2 linked regions of the Macaca fascicularis genome follow. The protein of the gene in region 2 purifies or fractionates together with the protein of the main gene of each other region. This does not show direct contact. Links are inferred from orthologs where the notes say so. Each region holds a gene or a part of one and is shown on either strand. Other genes may lie near its edges.

Evidence for each region. The genes of interacting proteins can lie anywhere in the genome.
Region 1: the proteins of TNFRSF10B (region 2) and RIPK1 purify together in Homo sapiens (affinity purification with western blotting, with the first as the bait; 3 studies listed by BioGRID). This does not show direct contact. The link is inferred for Macaca fascicularis from reciprocal best matches to the Homo sapiens genes TNFRSF10B and RIPK1.

The regions. Positions count from the first base shown.
Region 1 is NC_088378.1:169,978,714-169,982,231, forward strand, and holds part of RIPK1 (receptor-interacting serine/threonine-protein kinase 1), read right to left. Parts: intron 1,802-3,518; coding exon 1,652-1,801; intron 1-1,651. UniProt on the Homo sapiens protein: Serine-threonine kinase which is a key regulator of TNF-mediated apoptosis, necroptosis and inflammatory pathways.
Region 2 is NC_088382.1:26,141,045-26,144,562, reverse strand, and holds part of TNFRSF10B (tumor necrosis factor receptor superfamily member 10B), read left to right. Parts: intron 1-2,381; coding exon 2,382-2,487; exon of another isoform or gene 2,488-3,496; coding exon of another isoform or gene 3,497-3,518. UniProt on the Homo sapiens protein: Receptor for the cytotoxic ligand TNFSF10/TRAIL. The adapter molecule FADD recruits caspase-8 to the activated receptor.

The DNA of each region.
Region 1 (3,518 bases), on a different chromosome or scaffold from region 2:
ATATCCTAAAAGAATGATTAAGGAAAGTTCCCTAAACAGAAAGGAAACAATAAAATAAGACACCTTGGAGAATCAGAAAGGTCTGGTTTTGTTCATGGCAGGTAGCACCTAAAATCCTTGGAGTCTTCTAAGAGTGTCTTTTGGGTGGGGTCAGAAAACTAAGCAGCTTCAGAATGGGGGCTAGCAACCAGAAAGACCAAGCTATAATTAGAAGGTTGGGACTTTGAGCTCCACCTTTGACTTCCAGTGAGGAGAGAGGGACTGGAGATTAAGCTCAAGCACCAATGACCATGATTTAATCAATCATGCGTATGTAATGGAACTTCCATAAATCACCTTAAATGGGAAGGTGTGGAGAGCTTCAGGTTGCTGAACACATAGAAGCACCAGAACGTGGTGTGTCCTGAAAGGCTGTGGAAGCTCTGTACACCCTCCTCCCATACCTCACCTTGTACACCTCTTCCATTTGGCTGTTTCTGAATTGTACCCAGTACAGTAAAAGGGGAGACATAAGTAAAATGTTTTCTTGAGTTCTGTGAGTCTTTCTAATGAATTCCCAGACCTGAAGTGGGGCTTGTGGGAATACTCAAATAAATTTGTAGTTGGCTGAGCAGAAGTGTGAGTAGCCTGGGTACCCAATGCTGGTGAGGATGCAAGAACCTGCATCACGCAGACACCGAATATAAAATGGCACAGCCCCTCTGGGAAAATGTTTGGGAATTTTTTAAATAAACTGTACATGAAACTACCATACAACCTAGCTACTGCACTCCTTGGTATTCCAGAGAAATGAAGACTTATATTCACACAAAAACATGTACATGAATATTTACAGCTGCTTTAGTCCCAACAGTTAAGAACTGGAAACAAGTCTTTCAAGGAGTGAATAGTTAAACTGTGGTACATCCACACCATAGAATACTGCTCAGCAAACATCCAGGCACCTTTCCCCATCCCTGTATGACAGGGCCAGTCTAAATGGCAAAATACTTTCTAAAGATGCCAGCTAAACAAGGGAGGGGATGGAAATAAAAGAGGTGAAGAAGCAAAGAAGGCTGGTGAAAGCCCATACACGGATGAATGGAGAAACGAAATGCAGTCTATTCATACAATGGAATATTATTCAGCCTTGAAAAGGAAAGAAATTCTGACATCTGCTACAACACAGATGAACCTCGAGGACATCATGCCAGGTGGAATCAGCCAGACACAAAAGGACAAACATTGTATGGTTCCACTTATATACGGTACCCAGTGCAGTTAAATTCGTAGAGACAGAAAGTAGGATGGGGGTTGCCGGGGCAGGGAGAGAGATGATGGAGAGTGAACGTACTGTGGGACTGTACTTACTGCCCCTGAACAGTGCACTTGAAAACAGTTACAATGTTAATTTGAAAGTTATGTATATTTAAACCCAAGTTAAAAAGTTAGTTACAAAAAAAGGAAACAAGAAGGCCTTATGTGCCTTCATGCTTTTGAGAGATGGCTTCTTTGCACTGAACAACATGTTTGAAATCTAGAAAATCAGTTTAAAACCACAAGTAAAGTTGAACTCAGTTTTCTGAGGATTCAAACCAAGTTCCTAACAACATCTTACTGGGAAAATCACCACACAGGATGCATCCTACACAGTCAGAAAAGATGCTCTTACCAGGAAATGTCGGCCGAGCTTCTGGATTCGCTTCCCAGCACAGCTTCATGAGGCTGATAATTTCTCTTGGGCAGTACTCAATGATGTCGTCCACATCTGGCCTGTTCCCCGATTTTATGCACATTATCAGCTGCTGCTCACAGATAGCATCTGTAAAGCAAAGAGGAGCTGAGGTTGAGACTTTCAGGTCTTGCTCCTCTCTCAGGCAGGAAGGTGACAGAACTTGAACAATACTGCTCATTTTTTTCAGCCTCTGGTATGCCTGTGGTACGGCTGCCTCATTCTATAGAGTGGAATATGTCAGCTCTTTGTCTGACATATTCCACTACAGAGATGACCAAACAATAGCTTAATGTCTGCAGATAAAACAAAATTCTCAACAAAGCTACCTGCTGATGGAACAGAGATTATGTGGGCAAGGCCAGTGGCACGCTCCATGTGCAAAGGCAAATATGGGACAGTCCTTGCCTTTAGGAGCTCAAGTTAATGAGAGTGACTTAAAACACAAGAGTGATCATTGCTATTCAAAAAGGATGGGGCTGGGCACGGTGGCTCATGCCTGTAATCCCAGCACTTTGGGAGGTTGAGACAGGCAGATCACGAGGTCAAGAGATCAAGACCATCCTGGCCAACATGGTGAAACCCCATCTCTACTAAAAATACAAAAATTAGCTGGGCGTGGTGGTGCACACCTGTAGTCCCAGCTACTCGGGAGGCTGCGGCAAGAGAATTGCTTGAACCTGGGAGGTGGAGATTGCAGTGAGCTGAGACTGCGCCACTGCAATCCAGCCTGGTGACAGAGTGAGATTCCGTCTTAGAAGGAAAAAAAAAAAAAAAAAAAAGAATGTACAAGGGGCTCCAGTAGCACAACCCTGACTAAAAAGATCCAGGAAGGCTTTGTTGAGTCCAGAAAAATTAGCAGGTAAAGAATGGGAAAGGGGGACTTAAGGAGGAGAACTCCAGGCAAGAGAAGCAGGATATCAACAGACTAGAAGTCACAGAGATCATGACACATCCCAGAAATTCCTCACTCAGTCTAACTGACAAAGAAGGGAGGGTCAGGGATGAGGCCAGTAGAGAAGCAAAGGCCAGAATATTCCACACTAAGGAATTCGAACTTCATCCTGAACACCATGGAGCATCTGGGAAGGATTTCCAGTATGTGAGGGAAAGGGTCACATGTGCCTTTTAGGACGACCATTTTGGCTGCCACATGAATGGTGGACAGTGGAAGGAGCCTGCCGCAGAAACAGTGAGGGTTTGAACTAAGCAGAGGCCAGTGGGGACAGAGAGAGGCAGATGGGTTGCAGATATATCTTGAGTCATATATATATCTTGAATTCATAGGTTTTGAGATCTGATAGAATGTGGGAGAGAGAGGCAAGGGCAAGTCTGGGATGACTCTAAGGTTTCTTATTGGGCAACTTGGTAAAAGGATGGCCATGCCACTTCCTGAGCATATGAAGAGGAGTGAAGCAGGGCGAGCTGCAGGACAGTGTCGACAAGATGGGTGTGTTTGGGGGATGCTGCTTTGGAGGTTCCTTTGGTGCCTGCAATGGATCTGACCATAAGACAAGTGGATATCCAGGCCAGAGCCAGAGACACAGATTTAAGAAGCATTTGCAAAGAGATGATCATCAAACCACGGGAGCTGATGATCACCCAAGATGAGTATGTAGGGAAACATCCATTAGTTTATGCACTTAACAAACTGAAGAGTGTCTCTGTTCTCCTACACAAGCCACGACTTACTCATCTTTATATTCCCGGTGCCGACTAAAGTGCCCACAGTAGGGACTGAAAAGAAAGAATTCTTGAATGAAGGAGTAAGTGAATGAGTGAAAGTATGAAGTGTATGCCTTGTAGT
Region 2 (3,518 bases):
GAGTCTCGCTCTGTCGCCCAGGTTGGAGTGCAGTGGCCGGATCTCAGCTCACTGCAAGCTCCGCCTCCCAGGTTTACGCCATTCTCCTGCCTCAGCCTCCCGAGTAGCTGGGACCACAGGCGCCCGCCACCTCGCCCAGCTAGTTTTTTGTATTTTTTTTTAGTAGAGACCGGGTTTCACGGTGTTAGCCAGGATGGTCTCGATCTCCTGACCTCGTGATCCGCCCGTCTCGGCCTCCCAAAGTGCTGGGATTACAGGCTTGAGCCACCGCGCCCGGCCTGTTCATAATATTTTCATATGATCCTTTGCATTTCTGTCCATTGTAATGTGTCTCCTTGTTGTTTTTTTGTTTGTTTGTTTTTTGTTTTCTTTGAGACAGAGTCTCCCTCTGTTGCCCAGGCTGGAGTGCAGTGGGATGATCTCGGCTTACTGCAACTTTCGCCTCCCAGGTTCAAGCGATTCTCGTGACCCAGCCATCCAAGTAACTGGGATTACAGGTGTGCTCCACCATGCCTGGCTTTTTTTTTTTTTTTTTGTATTTTAGTAGAGGTGAGGGTTTGCCATGTTGGCCAGTCCGGTCTCCAACTCCTGGCCTCAGGTGATCCATCTGTCTTGGCCTCCCAAAGTGCTGGGATTATAGGCGTGAGCCACCTCACCTGACCTCCTCATTCATTTTTTATTTGATTTGTCTTCTTTCTTTTGTCTTAGTCTAGTTAAAGGTTTGTTGATTTCATTTCTTTTTTTCAAATAACTAACAGAATTTTGATAGTCTTTTGTATTTTTTTCTAGTCTCTATTTTATTTATTTTTGCTCTGATTTTTATTATTTCTTTTGTTCTGCTAACTGTGGGCTTAGTGTATCTTTTTTTCGTTTCCTTGAGGTATAACATTAAGTCTTGTATTCAAGATCTTTCTTCTTTTTTGATGTAGGCATTTATTGCCATTTCCTCTTAACACTGCTTTTGCTGCATCCCATAAATTTGGTTATGTTATCTTTCCATTTCATTTTCTTAATATATTTTTAAATTTTCCTTTTGATTTCTTCTTTGACACATTGGCTGCTCAAGAGCTTGTTACCATTCAAGTTCTTTGTTCATTTCTTAACCACATTGTTGGCTTGTGGTGGTTGTTGTTGAGTTGGAGTTTTTATATATTTTAGATATTAACCTTTTATCGGATATATAGCTAGTAAATGTTTTCCTCTTCCTGTGGGTTGCCCCTTCACTGTTGATTATCATTTGATGCACAAAAGTTTTTAATTTTTACATAGTGCAATTTATCTATTTTTTTCCTATATTGCTTGTGTTTTGGGGATCACATTCAAGAAATCATTGCCAAATCCAAGGTCATGAAGAATCGTTCCTATGTTTTCTCCTAAGTTTTAGGGTTTTCACTTTTATGTTAGATTTTGGATCCATTTTGAGTTAATTTTTGTATATATGTAAGTCAAAGGTCTGAGGTCATTGTTTTGTGATAAGTCAATATCTAGATTTCCCAAGACCATTTTAAAAAAGATTGTCCTCTCTCAATTAAATGGTCTTGGTACCTTTTCCAAAAATTACTTGATATATATAGTCATGCACCACATAACAACATTTCTGCCAACAACAGACTGGATATATGATGGTGGCTCCAGCAATTATGTAACATACTACACAGGTTTGTAGCCTAGGAGCAAGAGGCTATACCATATAGGCCAGGTGTGTCATAGGCTACACCATCTAGGTTTGTGTAAGCATACTCTCTGATGTTCACACAACACAATCACCTAACAACCCTTTGCTCAGAACAATGTTGATCAATGCATGGCTGTACGTGCAAGTTCATTTCTGGGCTCTCTGATCTAGTCCATTGGTCTATATGTCAGGCACCTTTTAAAATCAGAAGTTCACTATTTAATGTTTGATCCTGTATCCCAATTTTTTAAGTTTGCTGTATTATAACCCCCATTTATAAAAATGTGTATGTGTGCCTGTGTGTCTGTTTGTGTGTGTGTCTGTGTAAGAGAGAGAGAATGAGAGAAAGAGAGAGAGAATAGGCATACCTATGGAAAAATAGTGGAACTAAATGAAACAAAATATTAATGGATGCTATCTTTAGCTGAGATTATCATGTGTGGTTTGTGTATTCTTCTAAAAACTTTCCTTGCCCACATTTTCTGGAATAAACATGTTTAGAAGAGTTTTTCAAGTGAATGTTACTTGGCCTTCCCTGAAATATGAAGGGACGAACAAACATGAAAGGATGTTTGAGAGGTGAGAGCTGCAAGAAAGATGAGGGTTCTGTTTAGCCTTCGTGCCTGGGGTCAAGGGAATGTGAGTGGATCCTGGGAGGGGTGAGCTCTGGAAGCCACTCACACCCATCCCTGCTTTGTCCCCACAGGTCTCAGCTGACTGTGCTCCAATCACCCGACAATCCCTAGATCCCCAGCGAAGAGCGGCTCCACAACAAAAGAGATCCAGCCCCACAGAGGGATTGTGTCCGCCTGGTATGTTTAAGATGGGTCTCTGATCCTTACCCCTCCTCCCCTTGTCTCCATGAGCTTCCAGTCTGTTTCCTTTGCACTTCCTGGTTCTTTATGCCACAGAGAGGCATTGGGTGCCTCCAGCTCAAGGCTCTGTCCTTCTGGAGCCTTCCTGCTAGGTTGGTATCAAGACACACAAATGAATGAGACCGCCAAAGAGACTGATAGGCACCTTGAGGGAGAATTGAGTGGAACAGAGATGGGGCTGGTGAGGCCTCCAGGCAATGGTGACTTTGGGTTGACATCTGGAGGTGGGCAGGGCCAGAGGTGCAGAGAACCAGGAAGAGTGCTCCTAGGAGGGTTCCACTGGAACAATTGCCGGGGGTCAGGGGTTGGGGAAGATGGAGCAACGGCAGGGGACTACTGTGGGGAGTGGAGGGTTACGAAGTTAGAGAGACAGGTGGGTTCAAATCCTACAGAGAGGAAGCTGGATTTTATTTCACGAGTGATGGATGTCCCTGCGAAGTTTTCAGCAGAGGGCCACCAGCATTGGATGTGCATCCTGAGTGCCCACTCCTGGATTGAAGCGGAGCAAGACAGGAAGCAGGTGGAGGGCCTTGAGTGTGAGGCGCTCCCCTGGGATGTTATATGGTGCCCTGTAAGGTCATTTGAGCCCTGAGAGATGCAGCAGGAACCTGGCCTGAAGTGTGCTTGACTGCTGTGTTCACCTCGCACTTCTTTCCCTCTTTCCCCCGCGCGTATGAGGTAAGAATTGATTGCTGCATGAAGGTTTCCAGGGCTGGCAAGTGTGGCAAGCAGTGGCTTGTAAAATCCATTTACAAATTTGCATTTCTTTTCCATGACTAAGGGCCACAGGAAAGGCTTGCCTGAGGGCAAACTCTCACATTGCACGCGTGGGCTTGTCAGGAGCAGAGCATGGAGAAGGAAGAACCCAGTGTGAAGCAGACACAAACTCATCTGTAAATGCTCCTATTGCTGTGGTCCAGAGTCAAGACCAGGGAGCAGGACAGGAATGGGAAGAATTCAAGAAGTAT